Linked DNA regions of Tamandua tetradactyla. The protein of the gene in region 4 interacts with the protein of the main gene of each other region in a biochemical or structural test. Links are inferred from orthologs where the notes say so. Each region holds a gene or a part of one and is shown on either strand. Other genes may lie near its edges. The genes, in order: LRRK1, CD2, PRPF6 and CD2BP2.

Evidence for each region.
Region 1: the proteins of CD2BP2 (region 4) and LRRK1 form a complex in vitro, tested with the Homo sapiens proteins (2 studies listed by BioGRID and IntAct, with this or other methods). The link is inferred for Tamandua tetradactyla from reciprocal best matches to the Homo sapiens genes CD2BP2 and LRRK1.
Region 2: the proteins of CD2BP2 (region 4) and CD2 interact in a biophysical measurement, tested with the Homo sapiens proteins (6 studies listed by BioGRID and IntAct, with this or other methods). The link is inferred for Tamandua tetradactyla from reciprocal best matches to the Homo sapiens genes CD2BP2 and CD2.
Region 3: the proteins of CD2BP2 (region 4) and PRPF6 form a complex in vitro, tested with the Homo sapiens proteins (2 studies listed by BioGRID and IntAct). The link is inferred for Tamandua tetradactyla from reciprocal best matches to the Homo sapiens genes CD2BP2 and PRPF6.

The regions. Positions count from the first base shown.
Region 1 is NC_135338.1:83,680,655-83,688,124, forward strand, and holds the start of LRRK1 (leucine-rich repeat serine/threonine-protein kinase 1), read right to left. Parts: upstream 3,103-7,470; 5' UTR 2,993-3,102; intron 1-2,992. Other genes in the region: ALDH1A3 (retinaldehyde dehydrogenase 3), read right to left, coding at 7,202-7,274.
Region 2 is NC_135337.1:4,206,616-4,214,591, reverse strand, and holds the start of CD2 (T-cell surface antigen CD2), read left to right. Parts: upstream 1-4,825; 5' UTR 4,826-4,965; coding exon 4,966-5,026; intron 5,027-5,169; coding exon 5,170-5,460; intron 5,461-7,976. UniProt on the Homo sapiens protein: CD2 interacts with lymphocyte function-associated antigen CD58 (LFA-3) and CD48/BCM1 to mediate adhesion between T-cells and other cell types. CD2 is implicated in the triggering of T-cells, the cytoplasmic domain is implicated in the signaling function.
Region 3 is NC_135327.1:61,424,317-61,431,859, reverse strand, and holds the start of PRPF6 (pre-mRNA-processing factor 6), read right to left. Parts: upstream 3,189-7,543; 5' UTR 3,056-3,188; coding exon 2,985-3,055; intron 1,227-2,984; coding exon 1,058-1,226; intron 180-1,057; coding exon 61-179; intron 1-60. Other genes in the region: SAMD10 (sterile alpha motif domain-containing protein 10), read left to right, coding at 5,634-5,739. UniProt on the Homo sapiens protein: Involved in pre-mRNA splicing as component of the U4/U6-U5 tri-snRNP complex, one of the building blocks of the spliceosome.
Region 4 is NC_135349.1:24,202,072-24,209,893, reverse strand, and holds CD2BP2 (CD2 antigen cytoplasmic tail-binding protein 2), read right to left. Parts: upstream 3,049-7,822; 5' UTR 2,969-3,048; exon of another isoform or gene 2,955-2,968; intron 2,949-2,954; exon of another isoform or gene 2,827-2,948; intron 2,428-2,826; 5' UTR 2,404-2,427; coding exon 2,326-2,403; intron 2,129-2,325; coding exon 1,999-2,128; intron 1,876-1,998; coding exon 1,718-1,875; intron 1,614-1,717; coding exon 1,181-1,613; intron 1,100-1,180; coding exon 993-1,099; intron 924-992; coding exon 792-923; 3' UTR 661-791; downstream 1-660. Other genes in the region: TBC1D10B (TBC1 domain family member 10B), read right to left, coding at 5,642-6,310, 6,400-6,554, 6,904-7,093, 7,287-7,352, 7,482-7,596. UniProt on the Homo sapiens protein: Involved in pre-mRNA splicing as component of the U5 snRNP complex that is involved in spliceosome assembly.

The DNA.
Region 1 (7,470 bases), on a different chromosome or scaffold from region 4:
CGCTAGGCATTCCTTTTGAAAACAGAAATGTCTTACCATACAATGTTTTAGAGCTAAAAAAAAAATCTTTAAAATATTTTAGGCTTACCCTCACCCAGCATATTTTGTTCCCCTTTTCATTTTCAGTTTCCTTTTGAAAATCACTTTACCAGAGGAGGATTTTGCCCCCGGAGCAGTTTTAATTATAATTTGTACATTTGTTTATACTCTAAGGTAATAGTTTTAAGATGAGGTAACACAAGTTTTACGCTATCTTTGCCCTCAAACTGATCTTTGCTTCCTCCTTTTTCTTTTGAGTTCAGACCAATGCAATAACTCATGGTCATAAATTATATATATGTATATATATATTCTTTTCATTATGATATATACCTCTTAGGTGGGCTTCAAGAGGATTTCTGAAATAATAATTGTCCTAGATATTTTTCAAAATTCAATTTTTTTTCCATTTGCTAATCCCTTATACTTGCATTAATGAATAAACCTAAATACTTATTGGAAAAACAAACAAACAAACAAGGAACCTGCTGTTAATTCTACAACTGTTTATTGAGCCCTTTCTGTGAGGCATGAACTTCGTGAGTTCATGAAACTTACAGCTGGTGGGGAGGAAGTCAAGTCAGTTACAGCTACAAAGTTTCCATCAGGGAAGAAACAGGAGACCCCGCACCCCCCACACTGTTTTCTTTCAAGAGATTTGGAAAGGGCTGCCACAACCAGAGTTGCAAGACACTTGCAAAAGAAACAAACACATTAGAAATACTAACACAGACCAGCTCCTTTTTAAATCAAAAGCCTGGTCAAGTTGATTGCTCCATGGTTCTAGACCTTCCTTTAGCATTATTAGTATCCCTTTACTGATATCCATTCGTCTTCAAAATGCATTGACAGGTTTGTGAATATCAAGATAATCATGGAGCTGCACACAGGAAAAGTGTGTGGTTCTCAAACCTAGAGGAGTTCCTAAGGGTTTGGCAAAAGAAGAACCCATGAGCCCGAAACCACAAATAAGTGAAGGCTGTCCCATTCACCATTCAGTTACACCAACAGTCTGCACTGGGCATCTCCTGTGCAAGGCAGGGTTCTAGGAATCAGGGACTGGGTGAGGAACATGTTAGGCACAGTCTCTAACCCCAGGAAGCCAAAGTTGGGGAACAGCCAGGTAATTAAAAGAGAAATGGAATAAAGAAAGTATACACAAACACAAACAGCGGAGAATGTAAGAAGGACACAAAGAGAGGGATGTGAGAGAGAAGGAGGGTGGGTTTAGCCAGGTTCGACAAGGCAGGCCTTCTAGAACCTTCTGAGGTATCAACCTCATCAAGAGTCAAAGGACAGCAATGCAGAGGCCCCGCACTGGGGACTGAGCTCAGTCAGGGTGACTGGGAGTCCAGTGGGGCAGCCCTCCCAGATGACAGAGACCAGATCCTGCAGGGGTAGAGGGGAAGGGGTTCTCTAGATTTCATGCCAATTACAAGGAGAAGCTCTTGAAGGCTCCCAAGCAGAGGAGTGACATAATCTTATTTACCTTTTCTTTTTCTTAAAAAAAAAAAAAAAACCTCTCTGGTTCCTAGAGAATGGAGTGGGTGGGGTAGGGTGGAAGACAGCAATCCTAGGGGAAAGAGGTGTTGGCATCTTGGGCTAGGGTTGGAGGCTGAGAAAGAAGTGGATGGCCCTGGGACACCTCTGGAGGTAGCCCCAACGGAACTTACTGAGGAACTGTATTCGGGGCATGAGAAAACGGGATCAAGGATAACGCCTAGGGATCCGTTCATAGCAACTGAGTTGAGATAGGGCCACTCCCTGACACGCAGCAGCCTGGGGGAAGAGAGGGCGTTGGTTGACATCAAGAGCTCCTTTAAGAATTTGGTAGGTGTGAGGTTTGTATGCCATAACCTTACGTTTTCACCTAAGTTATGCTTACAAGACATAAGCAAAGATACTGAGAAGAAAATCCTAATAAAATATTTAACTGTTTCCATTTACCAAAACCCTGCGTATGTTAGTTGTATCATTAATATTCCAATAGATTGATAATACCTCTAAAAATCATCTACTCTTTGGGTGGGGGTGGGAGTTAGCTAAAAAAAACAGCTCTCGGTTCCTGGGTTTCTCTGCCTCTCAAGCCGCTGCTTGCACTTGTGTTCGTGGGAGGAAAAATTTTGTGCGTGGCCATCAAACTGCAAACGGCCACCTGGTCTGGCTGGCCACCAAGCAAGCTCTGGCCTCCCCCATCACCATCTCCCGCCAACCCCCCGGGGCGCCCCGGGCTGCACTCATCTCACCGCCCCTGTGACGGCTGGGGAGGTCACCCGCAGGGGAGGTCACCCGCAGGGAAGGCCTTTGGTCTTAATATCCGGCCAGAGATGCTACCCTTGAGCCAGGACGCCCCTGACTGTGGACAGTGAAGGCACCCTGGGTCTTCCCGCATCACCCGGGCCGCCCCTGGGAGAGTGAGAGCCCGGGGCTGTCCCTTCCAACACCCTCGCACTCACGCTCACAAACACGCGCGCGCTCCAAGTGGAAGGAGGAGTTTTCTCCAAAGGCGGAGGAGACGCCGAGACGCCCGCCTGGTGGATTTTCCTACTTTTGTTTCTTGTCGCTGCTCCCCCTCCCCCTCGCCGTCCCGGGGCCGTCCTGCGCAGAGATCGGGGGTTCGGGGGCTTCCCCCTGGGCCCCGCACACGCCTCCGCCCCGGCCCGCGGGGGGGTGGCTCGGGTTCACGCGCGACTTCAGGAATCGGGGCTGTGATCGCCGCGCCCCGGGAGCCCCCTCGGGATGTGAACGCGGCCCCTGGGTCAGGGCGCCCGGTCCCCCACCACGCGGCCGCCCCGAACGCGGGGCCCGGGCTGCGCCGCCCGCGGGCGCAGGGCCAGAAGGCTCCACGCAGACCCCCGAGTGCGGGCCCGGCCGGGGCGAGCGCCGGGAGCCGCGGGGTCGGGTCGGGATGCGGGAGGCCGCCTGCCACCCCGGCGGCCCGGGCAGCGCTTACCTGCGGCGGCGGCGGGCGGGCTGCAGAGCAGGGGCTTCCCGGGGCGGGCAGGAGGACACCGGCGGGCCGGGCCTGGCGCTCCGACCGCCCTCCGCCCCCCGCGCCTCGGGCGGCGCGCCGGGGCCGGGCCGGGACCAGACGCACTTCCTCAATCCTGAGGCGGGCGGGAGGGCGGCGCGAGGAGCGCGGGGCGAGGCCGAGGCGTCCCGAGGCTGGGGGCGCCGCTGCGGCTCCCACCGACGTGCGGACCCGGCGGCCCCTTGGTGCCCTGCCTCAGTTTCCCCCAGCCGGCAAACGCAGGTACGAGCAAGTTTCCTGCTCCCAGCCCCAGGAGATGACTGGGCCCCAGGGTCCTTCCTGAGCGAGGCCCTCCTCCAGGTTTGGGGACTCCGCGTAACGCACACCGGGTCCCTTCAGATTAATCAGATTAATCAATTCCTTTTCGGATTAATCTGGTTTTCGTTGTCCCTCTGCTCTGTCCAGCATCATCATTTCCGGATTAACCTCGCATTTGAATGCTGCCCAAATTCCCGCAAAGCAAGGGTTGAAAATACCAGTGCAACCTGCCTACAGAGCTGTATGAAACTAGGGTGTTTTTTTTTTTAAATGTTCTTTTTTGCAAGCTGCACCTCTTCCACCACCTTAACTGACTACCTACCTTAATTGTGGATCTACGCAAAGATGAAGCTATTTGGTGAATCATTTTTTTAAAATTTATTAATTAAAAAAATTAAGAACAACAAAAACATTAACGTATCATTCGGTTCTACATACATAATCAGTAATTCTCAATATCTTCACATAGTTGCATATTCATCATTGGTGAATCATTTTTAACTGTCTGCTTTTTAAATTTGTAGTTCAGACATGGTGCCATGTGGCCGATTAATTATGCCTCAACCTAATATATGAGGATGTTTGTCACCCACTGAGGCACTAAGGCACCCACACATGTCCACGCGGCAGGCAGCCCTCTGATTTTTGACATTCTTGTCCACTGAGGAAGGAGAAGCGGGCTCAGAAAAAGCGAATCGTTCCGCACCCTGGCAGGACAAGCACCCGGGGCGCCTCTCGTGTAGGGCAACGGCTGGGAGAGCCCCAGGACTTAGCGCAAAGCACATGGGCAAATCGCCACGACTCTCAGGGCCCGGCCCCTTGCTGTCTGAGGGGACCTGGGCAGCTTGGCTCTGCTCCCAGGCGGCTGCCCCTCAGACCCTTCTTGCATCGGGCGCCCTTCCAAGAGGGCGGGTGCAGTTTTGCAATCCCTTTTTTTCCCATCGGCCTCCTAATACCAGGATGCAAGGCCAGCAGTATTGCGGCTATCGAAAAGTCCCTAATCATTTGCAGGGCGGGGCGTCATTGGTGTTGAGCGCGGCGCCTTCCCAGCGCGCGGCCCCGCCACCCAGCGACTCGGTGGGGAAGCGCAGCCTAGTCCCGGGCAGACCTTGGAGTGGACAGGCACCAATGTAATGCTTCACTTCCCTTATAAAAGAGTTTGTTAGTGGGATAGAAAATGGCCCCAATACGAAAAGCAGACAGAACATTCGACACACGGGTGTCCCATTTTGAGCTGGCTATTCCCCATCAGTCAGCTCTATCCATTGGGGGTGACTTATCAGGTTCTTATGGGAAGGTCCTTACAGGTCAGATGATTCCTTTCTCCTTTCTTTCACCCTGCTAATGCATGGTCCTCTCACATTGTGCTCAGTATTCCACCCAGCTTTTCAGCACCTCAAGTTGGAAGGCTCCCTCTCTTAAATATTTTACGAGGGATCCGATCCAAATTTTCTCTTAATGGAGCTGTGCTTCGCCAACACATGGCAAGAGTGTTTTGGATTTTTGAAATCAAATGCACAGTTTGACCTTGGTGAACCTAATGAAGTATAAGGAATGTTCTAGATCCAATCTCTGTGTCAACTCGAGACTTGGTGACTGAGGCTTCTTGTTTAGAAGTCTTAGAAATTTGAGGTAAGTTAAACCCAAATATCTAGTGCCTTGTGGAGAGAGAACCAAAAAATGGACACAGTAAAGGGAATACAATGTTTTCCCTAAATTTGCACACAACCCTTCATGCAACTATCCACACACATGGCAAACGTTATCAGCTTAGATGACCAGCTTAAGTCTAGCCATTGAAGACACAGAGCCACTAAGGCAGAGCTCCCTGCCTGGTCAACCCCAGTGTTTTTCACAGACACAGGCGAAGCATTGAGGCCTGATCAATTGAGCAAATGTAATTTTATTCTTCAGCCACTGGTACTGCTATATTACAGGTCATTTTGCATAGAAGGTCTAGGAAAGAGAAAAACTCAACCAGAGAATTAAAATGGGTTTGGTTCTCAAATGAAAAAGCATAAAGTTTCTCAAATATCCGATTTTATTTGATCATAGCTCCATTGTAACTTAATCTGCAGTTAGGATCAGAATTCCCAGGCCAATAGGGTTTTAAACTGTATCACAGGGTAAACCTTTAAAGAAGTAAAATCTAACACTATATAGATTTCCATTTCTAAATACAGTATATTACAGAAGGCATATCACCTCTGTGTACTTACAAACTATAAAAAGATACAATAACTCTACCAATTATAAATAATGTAGCATTTCATATTAAAGGCATTATTGTACAATGAAAGAATAAGAACCCTCTAATGTATTATGATCAAGGTTAGTGTAATAGTTGAGAACAAAATACTGAAAATTCAGTGTATGAAATAAAATCCTGATTTAACAAATTCTTGGTAGTGTAAGTGCTAACTGATGGAGAGGGTGTGAATTATATATTGTGGATTTCTGACAAGGATGAAAACCCTCTTTCGCACATGGCTTCCTTTGTACACAAACTGGTTTCGATGGTGAACTTAATTTTATAATTGCCTCCCCTCCCTCAACTTAATTCTCAAATGTAAGTAATAATTTTCCAATTAGGAAAGTACAAATTAGTAACATTAAAAGCATCTGAGGAACATAAAATTTGGTTTCTCTCTTTTTTTAAAGCTATATGGAAACACTTTCAGTTTTCCAAGCTGAAACAGAGGAAATTGCACATGATTTGGATACACAAACAGGAACAGCTCTACAACTTGTTAGTGAAGTGTTCAGACTTGGATCTAGTAGGAAACCCCACTCCTCCATGGAGTCCATGCCTTACTTGTTGACTAATCAGAAATTAATATCCAAAACAGGGCTTTTTAAAAACAGGGCTATATTATGACACGTTTCTTTCCAGTTGTGTGTGCTTTAATAACCTAAAATGGATAACCAAACTGGAAGAAGGAAAAAGTATATAGGCTTATCATAAACCACTAACGAATGTGGCAGCATTGCATAACCTGTAAAAGTGAATTATTGCTGTATTGTTTTATTTTTTAAATTGTGAGACAATTACTGGAGGATGTGCTATACTGTCTTAGTGCCAGAGCATTGGATTCTTAGCAGCAAAGGTGATTCTAACAATTGTTTTGCCTAAGAAAGTGCCTTGATAGTCCATGACATATGTTTAGAATAAGCTCTTTGGGCTGTTGATTCAGTTATATTGCAAAGGCGGTATTGGTTTTCAGCTGTGTTCAATGCTCAGTGCGCCTGTCTTTGAAGACCCACGTGCACCCAAAGCCTTCTGCAACCTTCCCCAAAGCTTGTATGAGCTTCCCCAAAGCTCCCCACAGTGGGTCCTCACAATCCCTTTTTTTATTAGTTTTAACTCAGCGCTAGTCCATTTCCCACTGAACAGTGCCTTTCAGTCTTATCCCAGGAGGAGGAAGTGCTTGTTCTATTTGCAGGTGAGCCGAGCACACCACAAAGGCAGGGCCAGGCGTGCAGACCCTGCCGAGAGTTTTTTCCAAATTCTTACCGTGGTCAGATTCGGCAAAGCATTTTTAAGCAACCATTGGACACTTCAAATGCCACTCCCCCTGAAAACAACGTGGTGAGCACTGTCCCTGTCCCCCGGGACCTGGTCTAAAGGGGGAAGACAGAAATGGCTGAGAGCTCTGCCCGGACAGTGCTACAATCTTGCACACAACCTACGGGCATCCCCAGCTAGATCAATAGAATAGAGTCAGAGGAAAACAAACTCGTTCAAATCCAGTCGACTGAAAGTTTCCAGGGGGAGGCATCCCGGGAAAGTCCGAAATGTAGTTGTTTTTCTTCGGCAAGTGTCGCCCGCCGCACTCAGCTGTCAAATGTTTGAGGAAGGACTCTGCCTGAACTTCAGTGGTCCTTGTCGTCGAGTTTGATGGTGACGGTTTTCACCTCTGTGTACTCACTGAGGGCATACTCGCCTCTGTGATCACAGAAAAGAGAAATATTCAGAATGGGCGCTTTCCTTACCCTTTCCATAGAAACTGTGTTCAGCTACTTTATGGACCATTCCTCTCTGTTGGGTACTTTGGAATTTACACAAAAGATCAAAATGTGATGACTTGATGGACGTATAGTCTGGACGTTAGTAAGCTTAAGTAATCGGACATGCAACTGAA
Region 2 (7,976 bases), on a different chromosome or scaffold from region 4:
TTTTTCGCAAATGTGGGAAGAGGATGGAGGCGTGAACTGACACAGCTCCATCTGCATGCCGGGTGAGTGCTGCGCTGGGGCTGTTTGGCCCAAGGAACTTTTCTCTTTAATCACATGAGTATATAAAACTGGGGGCAGGCAATCACTCACCCCATCTTCTCTCAGGGGCATTTCCCCCTTGGGGACTTCCAGGCTGGTGATTGTCATCTCAGGAATCCATGCATCTTTGCACACGAGCTATCATCGTGGGTTGGTTCTGCCCACTGGGCTGTGTGGGCGGGAAGCCCAAGAGGAAAAGCAAACCCAGTCTGGGCCCCCGAAGGAAGCAGTGCCTGGCGAAGGAGTAGGTTCTTGGAGACTGGCTTTCCTAATTGGGAAAGAGCACATGTCTCCGGGTGGAAGGCACCCCAGCCGCTGGCTATGTGGGAGTGGTTTGTGTGAGAGGCCCAGCCCACTGCCTGGCAGACACCTAACCCTAAACCGATGACTTCGGATCTGACGCTGATGGGACCTCCCAGATAGGCCCAAGCTCAGCGTCAGCAGAGTCTGGGCTGCAGACAGCCATGCCAGGGGCCTTTCTAGTAACCACGGAGCCAAAATGGATGGCGAATTTTAGTCTGAGACCCAGGGCTCCTTTTTCAATTGTTCTCACCTGAGTGTGTGGGGCTCGCAAGGAGATGCTAGAGGGAAGACAGAGGAGGGCAAGTCTGGGCTTGGTGACTGCCTAAATTTAGGGGGCTCATGGGGTGGGGGAGGTTTAAGTGGGAAGTACACTGTGTCCTAGCATTTGGGCCTCAGGTTGGAAAGGCAGGGAGGGACTCAGCTGCTGGCTTGACTGAGGTGGACAGACACAGCCCAGGACCTTCTCTGGCCACAGGGTCCCCAGGGAAGCATGGAGAGGCAATCCGATCCCTTCCTGAGGGTCTTTCTGCTCTAAAAGCTCCTGATTCAGGACATTCGATTGGGTAAGAACTACAGAAAACGGGTCTTGTGGCCACAGTGCTGAGCGAGGGACCTGGTTCTCAGTTAGTACTTTAGGGTGACACGCAGGGAGGCAGACAGGAGTTGGGGGTCACGATTTTGCTACTGAGGGGACAGGAAGCTGCCCCGAAGCAAGACCTCTAAGAACCTGCCCTTCTTCCCTCTTCTGCTGCTTAATCTCGTCCCTTTACTCTGTTTCACCGGGAGTGTTAGTTTGGGTAAGAAAAATGGTTCAAGATGCTAAGTGAAGACACGCCCCTTCAGTTGCAGTGAGGGTGGTAAGGGAGGATGAGTCTTGGACCAGATTTTTCCCGGAAATCACACACACTAAATCAGGGACTGCACCCTCCCTCAGTGCTTGGGGGACCCACTTAGAATTTAAAAGGCATTAAAAAGCGACACATGTTCAATTGAAAAATATAACAATATCAACAACAAAACAGTAACCATTATCCATCCCTCAGGGATCAATGCCTGGAGGAAATCCTTCCAACAGACACACACACACACTTGTTAAGGAAAAAAAAAAGTGACTTTACTGTTTTTTGGTTTTTTTCTTTGTAACCTGTTTTTTTTACATCCCAGTTTGTCCATATGGTGAGTTACTCACCCAATTTCCTTCTATTGACTATTTAAGCTGACAATTTTTGACATACAAAAAATGCTGCGGTGTATAAACTTATAACCAAGTCTTAGGATGTCTCCATCATTATTTCCTTAGGATTAAATCATAGTTGTGGATTTGTTAGGACAAAATTTAAATAAAATGTTTTTGATGCTTCTGATTCAGACTGACAAGTTGGCAGCCAGAAACTGCGTCCCTATTTGCATTTCTCCTGACCGTATTTAAGAATGCCCTTTTCCCCGCAATCATCAGCACTGTCTGTATATTTTCATTTGTAAGTTATGAAAGATGAAAAATGTATGACATCTATGTTTAAATTTACATTTCTTCGATTATTAATAAATTGAGTATGTTTTCATAGATTTATACTTCTATTGTCTTTCTTTTTTTGTGAATGTTCCTTTCATGATCTTCACCACATCAAGTTATCGTCTTTTCTTTCTACGTTCATAACAGAATTTTAATTTGAAGGATATGAACCTTTATCACATATCCCACAAATAAATTTGTCCCTGTTAGTACTTTATCTCTTAATCTTTTTTATGACTTTCTTTTAATTAATGAAGTTGTAGGTTTACAAACAAACATGCATAAAATACAGCGTTCTCATATAGCACACTATTATTAACACTTGTATTAGTGTGGTACATTTGTTGTAATTCATGAAAGAACATTTTAACAATTGTACATTAAACATAGTCCAAAGCCTCATTGGTTATACACGGCTCATTGCTTGTGTTTATAGTTCTATGTTTGTTTTTTAATTTTTATTCTAATAATATATATGCAACCTACCATTTCCCTCCTTTTAATCACGTTCAAATACATAATTCAGCGCTGTTAATTGCATTCATAATTTTGTGCTATCTTCACTACAGTCCATTACCAAAGCTTTACAATCGACCCAAATAGAAACTCTGTACAGTTTAAGCATTAATTTTTTTACAAACAGGTTTGCAATTTTATGTAATCAGACTTATATCAATCCTTTTCTTATTCATGGTTTCTCCTCTCCAAGCCACGTACCTCATGCTGTTTTGAGTTAGATATGAGAGGGACAGAATGAATATTTCTAAAAGAAGAACTGAAAGCTGTTTTCCACTTATTCCATGAGAGCTAAGAAAATGAGTATGACTGCTGAATTATTATATCGACATTTTTTTTTTTAGTCTCCAGTATCTTGGAGTAGCTAGAAGGGAAATTGTGAAATTATAGAATTATATCCCATACCAAACTCTGAAATCTGTTTTATAATTACATGTTACAATGTACTTTGAAATTCATGGCTTTTTTGTATGTATGTTATATTTCACAATTTAAAAAAAATGTGTTCAAACGTCACAGAAGTTGATAACTTTATGTATTATCATGTAATTTATCAAAGGTATCATTCCATGTCTTAATTTTGTTCTTCTTCATTCTATTTGAACTGTTATAGAATATTTCATAAACTGAATATACCATAATTTAATTGTTTGCAAATTTTTGTTACTCAAAAATGCTACAACAAGCATCCTTGAACGAAACTTTTGCATGTTACACAAACATTTGTATAGGACAGATTTCTTGAACTAAAATTACTGGGTAATTTTAAATATATAATTACTGGGTAATTTAAAAATATATATATTTTAAAGTTTAGTGAAAATTGTCAAATTCTGACCCCTCCCTGGAGATAATGATTTACACTCACTCCAATATTGTATGAAGGTGCTTGTTTTGCCCCATATTTTTGTCCATAATGTAAATGATCTTCTCAGTTTGCCTATCTGATGGTTAAAAAAATGGTATTTTGTACTATTAGACACATAAATATAGGTGAGGTTAAACTTCTTGTATGTTTATTAACTATTTATATTTCTTCTATAAATTGTTCATTCAAGTCCTTTGCCCATTTTAAAAACCAGGTTCTTTTTCTTACTGATTGATAAGGAACTATTTCTATATCTTAGGTAATAATTTTTCACATAGACAGAAAATATTTTCTGTCATGTCTTTTCATTTTGTTTACTATATTTTTGGCTTACATACACTTTGAATTTTCATGTCTGTATTTATTAATTCTAGAAAGTTAATTTTTTATAGAAAGACCTTCCATATGCAAAGAAATGAAAATGGATTTCTATATTTCTTTTGCACTCTTATAGTTTTTTTGTTTTCTTAACATTTAAAACTTTAATCCAACTGTTTTTCTGTGGGTGATTTGACAGTTAGGAATTTTCACATAACCGTGAGGTAAGTATTTCAGTTAGGCTTCCCTTTACCCAATGGTAGAGATCCTTTCCTTCGACTTAATTTCATTTCCTGGACTTTTTCAGAGATAATATCCATAGTTTACCTGAAATTGACAAAAAAAAAAGCACAACTTTTAAGATTTTACTCACTGTATCCTAAAGAATTATAAAACTGGATATTAACTTTGGAAATGTGTCGTTTTTACTTTGGAAATCTGTCATTGATGTCCCATGACTGGGGTATCTGTGAATCTTTCGCCGGGAGCATCCATCTCTGTCTCACTGTTTCTCTTTTTTGTATTACAAATTTCCTTTCTCTCTCTCTCTCTCTCCCAGTTCCCTTTCACTTGTTTTTCTCTCTCCATATCCATCCCTTTCTCTTAACCATCTAAAATGTTAATTGTCGTAAACGTTTTTAAATCATTAGTTCGGGTTGTTTAATAGTATTTCATAGTTTTTATGCTTCTTTGGTTGTTTTGGAACAAGTTTTTGTTTACTTAACTGTGGAAATTACAATAGAGTTGTAAAATGTATAGTGCAACATAAGATTTGGGGACTCCAAGCATTTATAGCTGAGAATCAAGTCATATTTGTTTCCTTTTTTAAATCACAAAAACAATTTTAGAACACTCCAACATCGTAGGATACTCGCTTGTATTCTGCTAGTCACTGACAAACATTTACTCATATTTAAATGACAACACAGTAAAGTGGATAGAGGACGGGCTGGATGGGAGAATGTGATCCCTCCTTTACTAAAGGCTGCTCCTGGGTGATTTATTAGCCTCTCGGTTCCTCTTTTCTTCAGTGGGGATAATGAAACCCACCCAAGATTTTTGTGAAGCTCCCAACATGATTAGAAAACACATATTCACGAACACACCTGCTTTAGCAAAGGAGAGCGTCAGACACATTATTTTGCTGATTCTGTTTGTGTGCGCGCGCCTGCGTGCGTGTATGTGTGTGTGTGTGTGTGTGTGTGTGTTTGTTCTACACTCCTGTAAAAGGACCTAAAAAAAGCGGGGCACATGGTTAAGCTCTCAGGGCGTGGGTTCCACCAGTCCTGCTTCAATTCTTTTTTTGCAAGAAGAGCTTAGAATCACAACAAGGAAACTAACCCCAAAGATGAACCTCTCATGTGAAATTTTCGCCAGCTTCCTTCTGATTTTCCATGTTTCTGCCAAAGGTAAGTTACTGTGTGGGTGTCTATCGTCACAGCTAAAAGCCTCTTTGGAGACCCTGTGGCGTGTGCAAGAGTTGAAGAGACCACAGCCCAACCTGTGTTGGCAGTGGATCTTCAGATCTCAGGAACTTTCTTGCTTTTCACAGGTGCAGTCCCTAAAGAGGTCTGGGGTGCCCTCGGCCGTGAGTTCTACTTGAACATTCCTGATTCTCTAGTAAATCAGCCGACGGGTGATATACAGTGGAAAATTGGAAATACCAGGATTGCACGATTCACGAAAAGTAAAATAACTAGCACGTACCCGTACGAGGTGTTCCCGAATGGAACTCTGAAAATTAAAAATCTGATGAGAAATTACAGCAATACCTACATAGTAAATGTATATCATGAGAATGGAAAACATGTGCTGGAAAAAGCATTCACGTTGAAGACTCTGGGTAAGTCTTTGCTTTTTAAATTCCTCCATTTCAGCAAGGGTCCCGTTTAGCAAGTTGGTTAATAATGTTTATGGAATGTCCCCAGCACTTCCCTTGGCCTCCTGGGGAGCTGTAAGGGAAATCTAAAGTACGTCTCCTGTCCCAGTGGGGACCACAGGCTGGTGGGAGAGATGGAATCCACCCATGTGGAAATAAACAGTTGATGGGCCTTCAAGTTCAGCCGCCTAAAACTCTCCGGTGCCTACGGGGATGCAGGACTGGTTCAAGAACATGGATTAAGGTGGCGTTAATCAGAAGGAAGCGAACAAGTGAACAGAGAAAAAGGTGGCCGTCCCAGGTGCATGATGAGCCAAGCAGTTAGGGGTGCGGGGAAGGGAAGGAGCGGCTCGGTAGAGAGCGGCAAATTTTCAGATAGAAAATTTCAAGCCAGGTGCCCTAAAAGGAGTCGTTCTATGGCAGGAAAGGGCTGGAAACAATGACTTTGAGGAGGCAGGTCCTTGTTGCTGTCCTCCCAGCATCAAAGTGGTTGAAGGTGGACAGAGATTTTTGCTGATGCGTGTTAAAAAAGAATACACAGGGTGTGCCTTTGTATGTCTGCGTTTTGGGAGGGCAGGAGTGGTCACTGAAGATGAGGGAGGAAGACCAGCCAGGAAGGTGCTGCTATAATCCAAGTGAAATGAGGAGGGGCTGGCTAGTGCTTCTTAACCATGTCCTTTAGAATCAGCTGGGATGCCGTTAAAAGTTTTCGGCACCCAGGCCCAACCACAGTCTGGTAAAATCAGAATTTCTCAATGTGCAGCTTGGGCGCATTTCTAAAATGTCCCCGAGGGATTCTCATAAGCAATCGAGGTTGTCAACCACTGGCTTAGACTTTACTTTTTGGGTGCCTGTAAAAGGAGGAAGAATGAGCCTACTGAGGGTCGGGAATGGAAAAAGGATGGACAAGATGCTTTGCAGGATAAACTGAGGAATGAGAAAGAGGAATTGAAATGATAACAAGGCTGAAAGTCCAAGGGACACTGGGTAGGGAGCAGTAAGGGGAAATGAGAAGATGACCCGACACTTGGCTTGGAGAGGAAGGCAGGAATCCAGCCCCAGCAAAGACTGTGATTCAGTGAGCAAACAAACAGCTCTGTACTTCACACAGGAAATGCCACCCAAGGCAGGGGCCCTTCCTCTTCTCTGGGGTAACACTTTCAGGCCAGGGCTCAGCCTGGGGACTTAACAGCAGCCCCACTCCGACAATCCCAGAGATTGTTGGGACCCAAGCAAAGGGCAACTTTTGAAACCCTAGTCCTGCCCCCTCGAATGGAAATATAATCTAGAAATGGTGTAGGGCTGAGAATGGAGCCAGAAGGGGCTCCTGTTTAGGACTCTGGGAGCCACAGATCCTACACCTCCAGCCAGCATGAGCTCAAGGGCCCTGTTAAATCAACCAGAGCCATGCTGGTGCTGTCCAATTCATGCCTCATTTCATATCAGAGTGACCACAATGGCTACCAGTAGTTGATGCCACTAGATGTCAGGGGCTTCATGTACATCATCTTATTTAAAGCTCAACAACAACCCTAAGACATAGTTATTATCCCTTATTACCTATAAAGAAGCAGAGACTCAGACAGAAGCAACTTGCCCAAGGTCTCATAAAGACCAAAGAACGAAGCCAGGATTCAAACCCAGGGCCCCTGTTGGCAGGGATGGTTATTTCTAACTTTATTTATTTATATAATTGTATGGCTCGAATTCACACGCCATACAATTCACCCATTTAAAGTGTACAATCCAGTGGTTTCTCGTATGCTCACACAGTTGTGAGAACATCACCACGATCAATTTTAGAATAGTTTCATTACCCCCAAAAGAAACCTCATACCCTTTGGCGGAAGAGGAGTGACTCTCCCATGACGTAATGAGCACCTTGCTGTTTGCTGGGGGTGCATGAAGATCCCTCAATATCTTAACTCGGTATGGGGTCCTGTCGCCAATACTTGCTCATGGGCTTGAGCGGAATTCTTGATCTGCTCTGAATGTGGTTTAAAAAAAAAAATACTGCAAAAGACATTAAGGGATTTAATGAGACAACGTATGTAAATGTGCTTTGCCATGCGTGGGGCACGAGACGTGTCTGCTCCACGAGAGTGCCCTCCCCCATCTCTTTGTTTCTCCATGCCTCTTGTGGCTTTAGTCACAGACCCCAGCTTCCCTGCCCCTCTCTAATGGGCTTCATAGTTTCTTGCTGAAGAGGTCTTGGAGGGCACCTTACAGGTAAATGGTATGCTCAGCCATGGGAAGGTCTTAATAAAGTGCTCCCCTTTGACCCATCCATGCCTCTTCTAGGGAGCCCCCTTACAGGGAGGCTATGAACAAAGACATAACTTCCCGAGATTGTTCATCACTGCATTGTTTATATTAATAAAATGCCAAGAAGGATTTAAAAGTCCCCAACAGCTAGGGACTTATTAATTAAATTAAGAAGGCGTCATATTTATTGATGTTTATAAAGCAAAGAGGTTTAT
Region 3 (7,543 bases), on a different chromosome or scaffold from region 4:
CCCCCAACTCCAAAATTCAGGCAAAACGAAACAAGTGTGAAGGGCAACAGTTTGTTTTACCTTCTTTCTTTTCTTCTTTCATCCATCCTTTTATCCAGAGCTGCATAAATGGCATCTGCTTCCTCATCGTCTTTCTCATAGGGTCCACTGGAGAAGAGACTCCCAGCATAACCGTTAAACTGAAAACCAAAAATTGTGCTAATGAGGTAAGCATTTCCTCCCATACAAACCCCACCAGTAAGAGAAAACATCTCTAGGTGGAAAATGCTCACTGAATAATCTCTTTCTTCATACAAACCAAAATTAAGAGATAAGCTACAAAATAACTGATCAGTGCTTTTCAAAATTGTCAAGGTCATGTTAGACTGAGGAGCTGTCCCAACTGAGGAGACTAAGACAACATGATGACTAAACATAACAGGTCCTGGACAAGGTCCTGGGCCAGAAAAAGGACATCAGTGGAAAAACCGGCAAATTTACATGACCTATAAATTGGTTAATAGTACTGTATCAGTGTTTAATTTTCTGGTTTCAATAATTGCACTAAGGTTATGCAAGACGTTAACATAAAGGGAAGCCTGGTGAAGGGAACTCTGAAATTTTTTCTGAATTTTTTTTTTAATCTTCCTGTCACTTAGGAAAGATGCCATTTGTTAGCATACACCTGAAGGAAATGTCAACTCACCAAAGACCAGTTACCCAACTCACTAAGAGGGTGAGAACTAAAGTAAAAGAAAACAAATGTTATCACTAATAACACTCTAAGCTTTCATCACTAAATACCAGCCAAGACAAAACACCAAGGCAATGGTTCTAATATTTGCAAGTATATTTCCTCTGAAGAGACAGCAAAAGAGCACATTTCAGTGTTTTTCCCTGCTCTCCTCACACTCTGCCAATGGCATCCCATGAACAGCTGAAATATGAAATGTACCTGCCTTCCTTGAGCATGCTGGGTAAGAAAACTGGTCAGCCCTTCTAGGGACTGGCAGGGAGCCCAAGGAAAGTCCACGACACAGGAGGTCACCTCATAGGGTCACCACATGGGGTCAGTCACCTCATCGTAGTTGGTGTCGTTCAGATCTTCGTCATCATCATCTGCAGCCTGGTTTTTCTTCATCTGGTCACCAACGGTCCTCTTGCCTGGCGGTGCATGGCGGTCATCTACTGGGTCATTTGCGTCCCGGGCGGGCCCAATGTCTGACCGGGTGGTGAAGCCAGTGGCACTGCGGGAGAAAGCTGCTCAGGGGATCCAAGAGGCCCACCTGCACATGATCCGGGTTACCCTGTTCCCGTGTTCTCCCAACCACCCTCCTTGATAACCTACAGCACCTTTTTTTCTAACATCTGTGAGAAACCTCCAAAAGACATTGGTGGCTATTGTCTTTGGGCAATAAACCTTCCAAGGGGGTTTATTGGGGATGCCAAGGCTCCAAGTCTTCCCTACTTTCTCTTCCACACAAGATGCCCAGAGAATCAAGTCATCCTTTCTCCTAAGTTCCAGCCTTGCATTTCCAACAACCTACTGATCATCTCTACCTTGACATCCAATGAGTCCCTCACACCAACTTGGCCCAAACCAAGTCCTCTGTCTGTCTTGCTCTGCTCTGGGCTGTTTCAAGTGGTGATGGCAGTGCCAAGGCAGGCACCAGAGCATCACCTTCGCCTCCCTCCTTCCTCACCTCCGACCAATCTGTACCCAAGTCCTACTGATCCTACCTATGGGCTATCTCCTCTCCCGACCATAGGACTCCCATCTGGTTGGGAGGCAAATGAGCCTTTCTGCCTCTGGCCTTCTCCTGCTTAAACCCATGCAAGCACTGCTCTAAACAGGCCATCTCAGTCGCCACCACTTTTCCTAAGCCTAACTAAGCTCAGACTGATGTCCAAGGCCCTGCTGACCTCCAGCATCTTTCCCTTCACCACATGATCCATTCACACTGGCCTCCTGCTGTGCTTTCTTCCTCAGTGCTTCTCCCTTTTTTTTTTTTTTTAACCCACACAGAATGTCAGCTTCTGCTCTACCTCTGCCACCTTTCTACATCTCTAAAGTCAACCCTCCTTCAGAACCTGGCTCAAATGCTGCCACAGAGGATTCCCTAGTCTTGGGAACCCCAGAGTTCTCAATCAGTTCCTCTTCAGGTTATTTATGCAAATGTCTCACCTCACCTGAACACCCACGAGAGAAGCTCGTTAGTTTTCCTAGTCAAATGACTAACTAAGCAAAGAAAATAAAGACTGTTCATTTATTCAACAATGTATGTGTTCTGTGTGATAAGCATTGGGACCGGATTTCAAGCCTCGCAGATGCCATCCCTGTCCCTGGGGGACTAAGAGTTTAAACAAGCAACGTGAACGCTACTAGAGAGAAAAAACAGGGTACTAGAAGCTGCTACAACTGAGGCGCCTCATGCAGCCTGGATAGTCAGGAAAAGTTCAGTCACGTTTAGGTCAAGACCGGCAGGAAGAGTGGGTGATGCCTGGCCTGGGGAGGACACTACACATGAGTTTCTACTCCAGGGTGGTTTTACAGCGATATTCCTCAACACGGGTCTCTAAGTGAAAAGTTACATCTCTGCTGAGGAGCAGGGAGATTCCTACTTAGGTCTTTGCTGACCCCGAGCCCAGCGTTTCCCACGAGGCTCGGGCCAAACCACCGCCTGTCTTTCAGATTGTGTGGCTGCAGACTTTAACTTTTATTATTGTTCTTGTTTGGCAAGCTACCCTAAGTCCTGCTGTCTCCAGGGGTTAAGCGTGGATACAATCAGAACGGTCCTTCCCAAGTGGACAAAAAAGCAGAGATGCAGGTGGGAGAAGGCCGGGTCAGAAAGGGAGAGTGATACCCAGCCCGATTCCGTCTCCCTCTCCCTTCCCAAGCGCACCTCCCGCCGCCCCGGCCCCGCCCCAGGACCCCTCCCCAGGCACACACCTCCCGCCGCCCCAGCCCGGCCCTCAGTCCGCTCCGCAGCCCGCCCAAGCCTCACCCGCGGCCCAACCCCGGCACATAGCCCAGAGGCGCAGGCATGCCCAAGAACGGTTTCTTCTTCTTGTTCATGGCGGCGGCGGCTTGATCGGAAAACTACAAGGCCTCAAACGCAAATCCAGGAGCACTGACGCCGAGGCTTCGCCGCGGACACAGGACGCGTCCCGCGTCACCCGCGACCCGGAAGCATAGTTCGCGGTCCGCGCGAAGCCCCGCCCACCCGCGGGGGTTGGGCGGAAGTTCCTCGAACGCTGTTTCCGGCAACTCCAGACCACTGCTGTAGTGCTGGGATGCTGGTGGCCACGTCTGCTGGTGGCCAGGTGGGCAGCGCCCGTCCGGCTCGAAGGGGTCAAAGGGCCACAACACCCAGGACAAACCCTGCGGGACCCTAACATGGCGCCTGTGGCATTTCTGTTTTCTGAGTGTTGAGTGTTCTCAGATGCGTTTCGCGAGGAGGCCTTCCTGTGCTAACAGGACCCCTCCCCATCGAAGCCAGCCCGGCTGCCAGGGTCCCATCCTATTCGGCCTCCGCTAACCCCCCTGCCCCTCAGAGCTGCCCTGGTCTTCCAGACAGGCAGGCCCTAATGTCATCTGAGCAGAGCTGCACGCCCATGTGTGTATGTTCTGATTGTGGGCAAACCTGTCTGTTGTGCATCTCTTGTACACAGATTCCCCGGCCCCAGTTGAGCCGCTGGTCCCTGGCAGTCAATCCAGGGACTCCCGCTGCGGTCGGGCGGCACCCGTGCCCTCAACCGTTCCCTGAACATTCTGGTGAGGGCCCGAGCCCTGCCTGTTTTGTTCACTGCACGTCCCCAAGCCGAGTGAACATCAAGGCCCCTGCAGACATGTCCACATACACGTCAGTATGTATGCATGGGCAGTCACAGCATGTGGGTAAATTCTGTGTCAATGTTGTGTATTGGTGGGATGTGCTCAGGTCAGGTTGCATATGTGTGCATATATTTCGGTGGACATGTATGACTGAAATCTGCATGCATTATTGCATGTGGATGTGCATCTTTGCTCATTCTGGCTGGGGAGGCATCCTCCACTCCCGAACATACCTGGGGGAGCACCGAGGCCCCTCCCACTCTTGACCACATCTGCTCTCTGGCAGAGCAGGCAAAGGCCAGCTGGTGCTGGGCAGGGCGACCACACACTTTTCCCTGTGCCCTAGCCCACCTCAGCACTTTTCACTGGGGAACCCAGAGCAAACACATCCCTCCTATCTCATATAGCCTCCCTCTCCCCTGCAATCTTTAACTGAGCCTCACTCATCTCAGTCCCTGAGATGTGCAGGGTGCTGCACCAGACGCTCAGTGTCCTTCTGAAATTCACAGGATGGTGGGGACAAAGGAGAGATAAAACTGGTGTCTCCGAGGTGACCATGCCGGGCCCACTGGAGGAGAGGTCTGTAGAATGCGAATGTGTGAATAAAAGAGTGAACGAATAAATTAATGAGGTAGTGTCTACGTGGGACATGACTCCCAGGGGTGTGGACCTTCCTGGCAATGTGGGACAGAAATCCTGGAATGAGCTGAGACTCAGCATCAGGGGATTGAGAAAACCTTCTCCACCAAAAGGGGGAAGAGTGAAATGAGACAAAGTATCAGTGGCTGAGAGATTCCAAACAGAGTCCAGAGGTTATCCTGGAGGTTATTCTTACACATTATATAGATAGCACCTTGTTAGTAAGGATGTAGTGGAGAGGCTGGAGGGAACTGCCTGAAAATGTGGAGCTGTGTTCAGGTAACCACGTTTCTTGAAGATGATTGTATAATGCTATAGCTTTCACAATGTGGCTGTGTGATTGTGAAAACGTTGTGTCTGATGCTCCTTTTATCCACCTCATCAACACACGAGTAAAACTTGGAATAAAAATAAATAATAGGGGGAACAAATGTTAAAAAAAATTTTGCCTGAAATGCTAGTGATCAATGAAAGGGAGAGGCAAGGTGTATGGTATATATGAATTTTTTTCTGTTATCTTATTTCTTTTTCTGAATTGATGCAAATGTTCTAAGAAATGATCATGATGATGAATATGCAACTATGTGATGATATTGTGAATTATTGATTATATATGTAGAATGGAATGATCAAAAGTTACGAATGTTTGTGTTTGGTCTTTTTTGGTATTTAATTTTTTTTTTAATTAATTAAAAAAAATAATGAGGTAGGTAACTTGAGGGAGGTGTTAGGAGGGTCTGCTCTGGCTCTTGGTTTGGGCTCCTAAGGGTGGATGGCCCAGAAGTAGGTACGATTCGCCCCCCTCACCCCAATACAGGGGACCCAGTAGTCCCCACGATCCCTACCTCAGACGCAAGTTCTCCTTGCGTCTTCGGAGCCCTGCCAGGTGCGGACGGACGCCCTGTGCCCTCGCATACAGTCTTTGCACACGCAGACCCGAGCGCGCGCGCGCGTGCGCGCCGCCACACCGCCGAGCTCCCAGAGCGCGCGGGGCGCAGGGGCTCTGCGGGCAGGTGTCTCGCGCGCAGACTCGCCGGCCGCGGAGACCCGGCGCTGCTGACCACAGCGGCTCAGGCGCGACGACCCGCTCAGGCGCGGGGGGCGCGGCGCTCGGTGGGGCGGGGCAGCGGCGCGCGTTCCCCGCTACCACACCAGCCGCGGTGCGCTCGGCTAGGGGCGTATGCGCGCGGGCCCCATGTTCACCGAGCTGAGGTCCAAGCTGAGCCCCCCAAGGGGTGGCGCCGGGGCCGTGCGCGCCGGCTTCGGGGAGCGCCGGGATGTGGATGGTGAGCGGGGCCGCGCCCGGCTAGGGGCTGTGGAACGAGGGAGGCGGGACCCTGCTGGCTTGGAGCGGTGGGGTGCTGAGGGGGGCGGGCCCTGGCCGCACAGGGTCCCCTTGGCCTTTGTCCTGTGTGGAGGGTCGGAGGAGGGCAAGTCGACTTAAGACCTTAAGGACCAGTGCGCCCTTGGCCGGGCTCCTGTCGCCAGGCTGGCAGCACACTGGGGTCACCTTTTTCTTCGCGCGCAGAAAACCCTATCTGGCCCTGGCAGCGAGGCCGAGAAGGTGTGAGGTCACAGCCCAAATTGCTGCCTACTCCTCATTCCCTGCTAGAATTCCGACGTTAGACTGGGAAGGACCCACCGACCTGTGGACGGAAGCCCCTTCCCCTAGTGCCAAGCAGGAAATGGGCGGGGCCCGGCCAACCCCGGGCAGGTGCGCGCGGGGGCGGCCGACTGGCTTCCTGGAAGAGTGCGGGGAGGTCCGGGCCCAGCGCCTCTGCCCTGAATGGTGCGGCCTTAGAATAAGTCTTTGCCCACGTTACTAGAAGACAATTCTCGGGGTGGGGCCCACACCGACCCCACCCTCCGAGTCTGACTCACCACCTCAAACTTAGAGTCACTTAGGTACAGGTGGAGGGCGTAATTCCCAACCTGGGGGAGGTGGAAAGAGAAGGGTGGGATGCTGATTTGCTTGTGGGGAGACTTCCTGGGCACACGCCCAAGCCCGGCCCCAGGCGGTGGGGACCCGGGATTGGTCTTGGAGAGGAGGTAGGGTCTCTCCTTCTAGGGCTAAAGGGGGAGAAAGGAGCACTGGCCCTTGGCCTCAGCACGGACCCCTACCCTGCTGACCCAGAGCTTGGGTCCCAACTTCCTGTCTCTCCCACCACTTCTCTTGACTTTGCCACACGGAGCTTTCCCCTTCCACCCTTCCTGCCTTCCCTTCTTTCTTCCTTCCCTCCCTTTTGCTCTCTCCTTCCTTTCTTCCTTCCTTCACAATGTTTCTCATGGACCTTCTGGCTCCTATCAAGGTGAATGTCCTGCCTGATCTCATTTCAGCAAAGATCCCAGAAATGACTGTAAAGCAGATGCTTGACAAGGGTGATGCAGCTGGTGGGGGACGAGGGAGTCTGGGCATGCCATGGTTCCCAGGCCTGATGCGTGTGCCACACCTGTGCTGAACCAGTATGCGCCTGCCTGCACTGCCACATGCCCAGTGCTGACCTGGGCCTGGTGACTCCCCATGGCCGGGCAGGGAAGGGGGCAGCCCATGCAGAAGGCAGCAAGGCAGGAAATCCCTACATGTGTTTGGGGAATCCTGACTGTCACTTGCCCAGAATTCGGATTTCTCTTCGATGAGTCATGTGGGTGAGCTGCAGCAGGGGCTCGGTCAGGCCTCGAAGACCTGGTGCAGCTACAGAGACTGGGAGTGGTGAGCGGTAACAATCAGGAACACATGCTCAGAGGCCCCCACTTACACACGTCCAGGTATCGGGGACACTGAGGCCAGCCTTTCTGGTGGCGGGTCCTACACATTTGTGTGTGTGTAACACATGGGCCAGCCCCAGCTAGGAAGGAGTTGGAGCTGCCTAGGATAGAGTCCTCACCTAGCTAGGGGTCAGTGACCCCCTGTGAGCTGGGAGACAGTCTTTCCTGCTGCAGGCAGTCCTCTGTCTTCAGAGCACAGGCTGGGGCTTGGAAGGGGAAAGTGTTCACAGTTCTTCATCTTTGGGCCTGGTGGCCACCTCGAGCCAGCTCCCTTCATGATTCCTCCTGCCTCTGGGGGCTTGGGACCGTCATTAGTAGAGGGGA
Region 4 (7,822 bases):
GGGCCTGTATGATGCATGGTTGCCCCAGGTGGCCTTAAAGGGCCCTTCAAGTGCCAATTACCGAGTCTGCATTTCACCCAAGAACAACAAGGAGTCTTAGGAACTGGTGAAAGGGATAGAAGAGGAGCCAAAATATGAAAACATACTGGCTCTGAAGATCTTAGAGGTCTTAGATAATATTGACTTACACAACCTGTTTCTGTCCGACTTCTAAGGAGCTTGAGAGAGTGGGGAGCCAGTGAGGAAGATGCTTCCTGCTCACTCCCAAAAGGATCACAAAATCTACCAGATGTCCCAGCCATTCAAGGCCTAATATTTCCACTCCTGGGGCTCTATCTCCTGCTGGCTGTGAGAACTGAGACTCTAATGTCCTGAAGGCCAAAGTCCTATGAAGAGCAAAACAGGAACTAACAGAGGAGCCTGGAGGGTGAGTGATGGGATTTTCAGATGGCAGAGTCCAGGTGGGGAGGCCACGGACATTTGACAGGCCCTGGATCTGCTCCACAAGAGTGGTAAACAAAGATGAGGTGATTGGAGAGAACACAGAGAAACTTCCAAGGAGTAACTTCATGGGAGGCAATACTCAAGGACTGAGGTGACTCCATAGGGGCTGTGGAAGAGGCCCCCTGCTTCTGGTCACCAGCAGAGCCAAGGCCCCAATACACAACTAAAGGCATTTATTGGGAAAAGGAAACTGAGAGGTGGCCCTCAATGTCCTCACTGCCTGAGGCAGTTGGGGCCAATTTAGAGTCCAGGAAGGAAGGGGCCAGTATCCTGGGCCCGCAATGGGCTCAGGTGTAGAGGTCAAAGTCAATGCGTTTGGAGTTGTAGAACTGACCACCAGGGGGGTCCAGCTTCCGGCAATATACACCATCCGAGAAGTAGCCTTCATTCACCCAGGTCTGCAGGGAGAGAGGGCAGAGCTGGGGGAGGACTGGAAGCAGGGGGAAGGGTAAGGGAGACAAGGCAGAACAAAGCAGAAAGGAGCTTACCTGCATCTGGGTGCTGGTAAAAGGCCCATAGAGCTCAGCATCCCCTGTGTTCTCCCACTTATATTCCCACATCACTTCCGCCAGACCATCCCCAAGTGACTCTGCTTCTAAAACAAGAGACAAAGCCATTTGGGCCTCAGTTGCCCTTCCCCTGCCCACAACCTTCCTTTTCTGCCCTCTACACTTACCTCTCTGGACAGCGGTTGGCGTCTCCAGCTCCCTCTCTGCCACTTCCTCAGCGAACATGTCCAGAGTGGGTGGGGGTGTAGGATCATGAGACCCCTGGGTCCGGCACCCTAGCCCCTTCAGTCGCATGGCCAACCGTTCCCGAGTCTCCTGATACACACCAAGGTTGCCCCGGGCCACCATCTGGTCAGCCAATCCCGAAAGTCGATCCAGGCGCTGGGGGGAGCTGGGCCGCCCAGGACCCTTGCTGCCCCCTTTGCCTCCTCCTCGGGCTCCCAGGCGCCTCAATGCTCCAGCAACTGTCTCCCTTGGCAGCAGCAGCTCCAGAAGGCCCTCCAGGAGGGCTTGGGCACTCATCGGTGTCTGGCCCAGACTGTCCTCCTCCTCTGAATCTGAGGCCTGGCGCTGATCAGGTGGTCGCTCCCGGATCTTTACCTGTAATTGAAGACAAAGGACTTACTTCCTACAAACTGCCAGAAGGCCCCAGGTCCAGCACCCACTGCCCCCAGGCCACAGACATGCCATCCCCTGGGCCACACCCAGTCAATGTTGTCCAGCCAGCTGTCTCGGATCTGAGCATCCCGGTTCAGGAAGTAGTTGCCATCTGCATCAAAGTGGCCTTCCTCCATCTCTTCCTGCAGGTTGAAGGGCGTGATTCGCACACCCCCCTCGCTGGGGAGTGTGGCTGCTTCCTGACCTGAACCAAAGACATAGACTCTCTATGTGAGGCAAAAAAGAGACAAGAATCTCCCTTGCCCCACAACTCAGAAGCCCCTCCTTGTCCCTCCAGTTGAGAGTCAAATTTTGGGGTATGGCTCACCTTCCACATCCTCTGAGGCCAGGATGTCATATTTGCGGGACCCCTCCTCGTCGTCATCCTCCTCATCACTGTCCAAAGAGTGTTTGCCTTTGAAGCGGCTCCCAGGGCCCCCAGCCACAGGGTCCACCATCTGTATACAGGTGAGAGATGAAGGTTACTGGCTGCTCCCCAAAACATTGACCCAAACTGAAAATCCTCCAAACCCACTCCTAAAACAATATGGAAAAGCCAACCCTCCAACATCTTTGTCCCACCAACTTCCTTCCTCTTCAGGCTTTTGCCTCCTCTCTACTAGTCCCCCAGAACGCAGGAGTCTGGTCCCCTCACCTTCTTCTTGGGGGCAATCATTTCATCCTCATCATTTTCATCCCCCACGCCCTGGAAGGTCACTTTCCTCTTTGGCATGACGGAACGGTGGGATCCCCTAAGCTGTGCCGAGAAGAGTGGAGAATTAGAGATCTGGGCGAGGTGGAGACTAGCCACCAGAGGGCCCCTGGCACAGCAAATTTTTCTTCCGGTACATGCCAGGTCCAGTTCGGGAGGCGAGGGAGCATTAGAGTCAGGAGCCAAAAGCGGAGCTGGCAGACAGTCGACCTCAGGGGTTTGGTCTGGCATTCAAGAACGTGGCTGAAGCAGGGACTGTAAAGGATTTTCCCATGGCCACCGTCGGTACCCCCATTTTTGACCAAAGGAGAGAGCTTCCCCCATGTGACCACCCTCATCCCCAAGCCCCGCAGGCCACAGCGAAACAGGGCTCCGCGGGTTACACCGCAACCCCCTCCCGCCGCCCAGTTTCCAGAGACCGCGGGGCCCGCGCGGACTCAGGACCTGGAGTCCGGGCCTCTCTGCTCCTTCTTACGCCGAACTCCCAATTCCGCGGGGCAACCCCTAACTATCCTGGGGTACGAATACAAATTAGAGGGACGGCAAGCATACGAGGATCCCAGGAAACCCACCCGCGCGCGATCACCTGGGGCTCCAGGGGAGGAGGGGAACGAAAGCAAGAAGGCTGTCGCTAGAGTTACATCCGGGGCACCCGGGCGCCACTACCCGGAAGAGAAATGCGGAAGGCGCCAAAGAAAGCCGGAAGTGGCTTCACTGCGTTTACACTAACTGGAAGAGCGGGCGGAAGTACTCAGGGAAAGAGGGAAGACACCCACCGCGAGAGGTGACGTGAGCTGCGTGGGGAGGCCATAGCAAGAAAAGAGGATATATGGATGCCTGATCATACCAGAGAGGTGGCAGCAAGTGGTTTCGATTCCGTAAGACAGCAGTTGAGGCTCTGGGGAAAGTGGAGTCCACTCGGTTTAAGAGGGCGCCAGGGGTCTGGATAGAGGGGCAAAGTCCAAGCAGAATCAACGATTCCTGCCCTAGTTTTTCTTTCCAGTGTTCGAGTCACCCTTCCTACAGGGCTGGCCAAGGGTTCTGCGCCCTCATCATTTCTGAGAAATTCTCCCTTCCTACTCAGAGCGTCTAATATTCTGCCATCTTCTTTCATAGCCTGGGAGGAGTGGCTTTACTCTTTTTCCCGTCGAGAGGAAGCCCGGCTCTTCAGATGATGCGCCTCGGGGGCCCTTGACCACACTTTGGTTTCAGAACCCAGTTCCCTTTAGGACCCATTTGCCCCATGCCCCGCCCCAGGATGAGCTCCTAGTTTCCAGGTCGGAAAGCCAACTCAGTGGGACCAGTGCGCAGTATCCAGGCCCCAGGCCCCTCGAACCCTGCTGTCAGGTAGGCATGAAAAAGGGTAGCAGCATGTGTCTGAAACTACAGCCACAGGATAAAGCTTCCCCTTTACCAAACAAGGCCCCAACCTGTGGTGCCTTATGCAGGTGATGAGTCTTGGCCAGTGCTGAGAAGCTGGGGTTGGAAAGAGGGAAAAGGCCCCCAGCTCTTGTGGACATTCAGAGCCTGAATCCCACTAGGCCAGGCCAGGCCCAGAAAGAGCCCACTGGAGCCAGAGGGTAGCATGGAGGGGCGGGCAGGGAAATCTGCTGGCCCACCCCTCCTCTGCCTGCCCCAGTATTTCCTCCCAGTTTGGATCACATGAACCTCTACAAAAAGTGCTTAGTTTTTTTACATGGGTACAGAGCACACCCCAGATCAGGACATCTTACTGAAGAAGAGGGTCTGAAATACCAGCTACCAGGAATACTGGTTTATCTTCTGGGGAAACCTCTTCTATTTGGAGCACCAGGTGGATCACCTAGTCTCATCTTGCTGGAAAACTGCCAGGTGGAGCTGTCTATCCTGACCCCTGGGGCAAAAGGCACAGGATGGGAGGATCTACAAGTTGGCCACAGAAAACCAACAGGGTCTGAACGCCTGGCTGTGGGCACTGGCAAGCTGAAGGCAACTGGCTACACCTGCTACCTGGTCTGGAGGCCCAGTACTAGGAGCTGTACCAGGCAGCTGGCTACCAGCCCAACCCATCCCCAGAGGACTATGGCTCCCTAGTCACCCTCAGTGCCCCCTCTGGCTTCTAGGAGCTTTATGAGTGCTTTGGGAAGGAGATCTGGATGCTGCAGGTGGCACAAAGAGGGCTCCAGGAAGCCAGTGTCAATGGAAGCAGCAGATGCCAGGCAAGGCTGGGCAAGAGCTCAACCAATGTTTGTTAAGAAGTGACTGAGAGACGGACCAAAGGCCAAGAAATACCTGCAATAATCAGCAGACTGCTTCAATACAAACCCAGGTCCTGGCTTCCCTCTTCCTCCCTACTTCATACCCCATCCTTCCTCACCCAAATAACAAGGCACGAGACAGGCCCAGGTACAACAGCAGATTCTTTTCCGGTTCCTTAAAGCGCCGCACAGGGCAGAGACAGGGACAGGAGAAGAGAATGTAAACATGGGTCCCACCCTCTGGAGCTCAAGGAAAGACCCCTTACTCAGTTAGGGGCTGGAGGGTTGGAAGGAAACAAGGTGAAAGGTGGGAGGCCCTGGTGAGAAAAAGCAGGGGAGGCCTGAGAATACAGAGGAAAGTGGGTGAGGAAGAGGAAGCACAGAAGGGCAGTGGAAGGGGAAGTGGGGGGACATTTCCTATTCCGGTGTATGTCCCTTAAATTAATGGGTACAATAGCATTGTGGAAGGAAAACCAAAGGACAGAAGACAGAGCAAGTGCCCCTACCCCAGGCTGGCTTGGCCCTCAGTACATAATTACAGCACATAGATGTCCAGAAGTAGAGTGATGAAAACCTTGGCCCCCAGCCAGGAAGTGGGGCAGACAGGCAGGACTGAAGGAGGGAGACTCTAGCTCCACCTCATGGATAAGAGGGCAAGAGTCTGAAAATCACTTACTCCCATTGCCAAGAGTCACCACTGGTGACAAGAGGTCAACCAGGACCGTACCTGGGAGGGGATCCCAGAAGCAGTTGGGGCAGGAGTAAAAGACCCAGGCTGGGCCTAACTGCAGGTGAGGGACACCAAGACTTGTCCATGGCTGTCCCAGGGAAACACAGCTGCCCCATATAATGCGACTGTCTTGACCGTGTAGGAGCAGCAGATGGCAAAGAGACAAGGAATCAAGCCACTTTCCCAAGAGGGAGAGATGGCCTGCTATGGGAGCTAGGGACAGCACCCCAGGCCAGGCCTGCTCTTGGCTAAGGGGAGAAGGGGGCCATGCAGTTCAGCCCCAGGGGAGAAGTCAGAAGTAAGCGTCCTGCTGGACCTCAGCTGCTGAGGACTTATCCCCGCCATCCTGAGGGGCTGGGGGCCCATCTGCCTTTCGACGCAGTGAAAGCTTCCGGCCTTGGGCCTTCTTCTCCTGCTTCTGCCGCTCCTTTTCCTGCTTCTGCCGCTCCTTCTCCTGCTTCTGCTGTTCTTTTTCCTGCTCTTTTTCCCACTTCTGCCGCTCCTTCTCCTGCTTCTCCCGTTCTTTCTCTTGCTTCTGCCGCTCCTTCTCACGCTCTTTTTCTTGTTTCTGCCTCTCCTTCTCCTGCTTCCGAGTCTCCTTGCTGGAACCCAAAGGGGTGCTGTTGCCAGTAGGTGAGGGAAGGGATGGGTGCAGTCCCTCAGCGGTGACCACAGGCCCTGGGGCAGGCCCAGCACTGGCCCTGCGGACAGGAGGGGGCGGGGAGGGGGGGGCCCCACTGGCTGCACGGGTGCCTCGGCTCTTGAGGCCAGGGAGGCTGAGGAGGCTGGAAGAGGGGCCCAGGGGTGGCTGCTGCCGCCGGCGCTCCTCGTGGATGGCCCGAGAGCCATGCAGCCGCCGTGAGGGACGATACTGCAGCTCTCCCCGAGTTTCTCGCCACTTCTTGAGCTGGGTTGTATTTTCCCGCTCAATCAGTGTCTCTGTCACTGGGAGGTTGGTCACCTAGATGGAGAGGAAATGGGTACAAGAATGAATATGAGGTGTGGGGATGGGCCAAAGCAGGTGTGAGGTGTGCTGAGGTCAAAGCCTACCTCGTGCACCAGAAAGTCCTCCTGCATGCACTGCTGGGGTAGGTTGCGTAGCTGCTCCATGGTCTCATACATGCCTTGGCAGGAACGCAGCTTCTCCACCGAGCCCAGCGTGTGCCGCAGCAGCACCAGGGCCACTCGGAAGATGATCTTGACGCCTGCAGGGTCAAGGAGAAGAATATGGGGGGATCAGGCCTGGGATTTTGGCCTGTCCCATTTAGAAGGGACTTACAGCTCCCATCTCTCCTACTGCCCACCTCACAGGTAAGGAAATTGAGGTCCTGGGAAGGGAAATTAGTTGCCTCATTTCTTGTGCCTGAGAGGGAGAGCAGGCCGTGGTCCATGGCAGAACCAAGAGCAGGCTTTGGTTTCTCTAGCCCTTGAGCTGCTTACAGCAAAGTTCAACAAGTACCTTTAGTCAGGGGGGCACCAGAAATGCGGCAGAGCCCTATGACAATCACTGTGGAAATCCAAGTCCCCTCATGGCCTGGGTGGCCACAGAAGTACCTTCACAGAAAAACATGTCCCAGACGCGCAGCACTGAAGCCCAGGGCAGGGTGCGGGCAAAGATGCACATGAACCACTCTGTCATGTAGAGCACAGGGTCAATGCGCTGTCGCCGCAGGTGCCGGTGTGCCAGTGGGGAGGCCCGGCGCAACAATGCAAAAAAGATCTCTCCGTCCAGCTGAATGGCCTCCTGGAGGTGGGATATGCCATGAGAAGAGGGTCTGGCCTGATGCAGCCCCCTTAGGGTGGAACTGGCCCTGGTAGTGAACCCTCACCTCAGGGAGGAAAAGCCCAGAGGAGAGGGATGGAAGGGCCAGGGTGGGACAGGACCTCCTTGCAGCCTTGGGGAAAAGTCATAGCCCCAGGTACCCCTAGATACTCACCAGCCCTGCACTGTAATAGCCAGGGAGGTACTTGTCACAGATCTGCACCAGGCACCAAAAGGCTTGCTGAGAAGGGCAAGAACAAGGAGGGCGGGATGGGGTCTGAGGAATGTAAAGTAGGGAGTTCCCTCCCCCCTCATCACCATTGCAGACCAACATCCTGCCACCCCCCGACCAGGACCAGTGTCTACTGACCTCAGCGGGCATGTGCATGAGCAGCACTGCAGCCACGGGGGCCTGGGCTTGGCAGTAGCCCTCGTCAGGCCGGTAGATGGTGTAGGCCTTGAGGATGCGATACAGATCCTGCTGCCTGTGGGGGAGAGGGAGATGGGAGGACCATCATGGGAGCTGGGAGCTCTCTGCCTCCAGCAGCCCCAGCCCAGCCCCAGATTAACCTCAGCATTTCACTCCGCCCCCAACTGCTTCCTAGTCCTGCCTTTGAAGTCCTTGCCAAAGGTTGAGACCACCAACAAAGCATTCCAGGCTCCAGCCCCCAACCCTCGGCTGCACACCCACATGCTCCCTACCCATTCCCC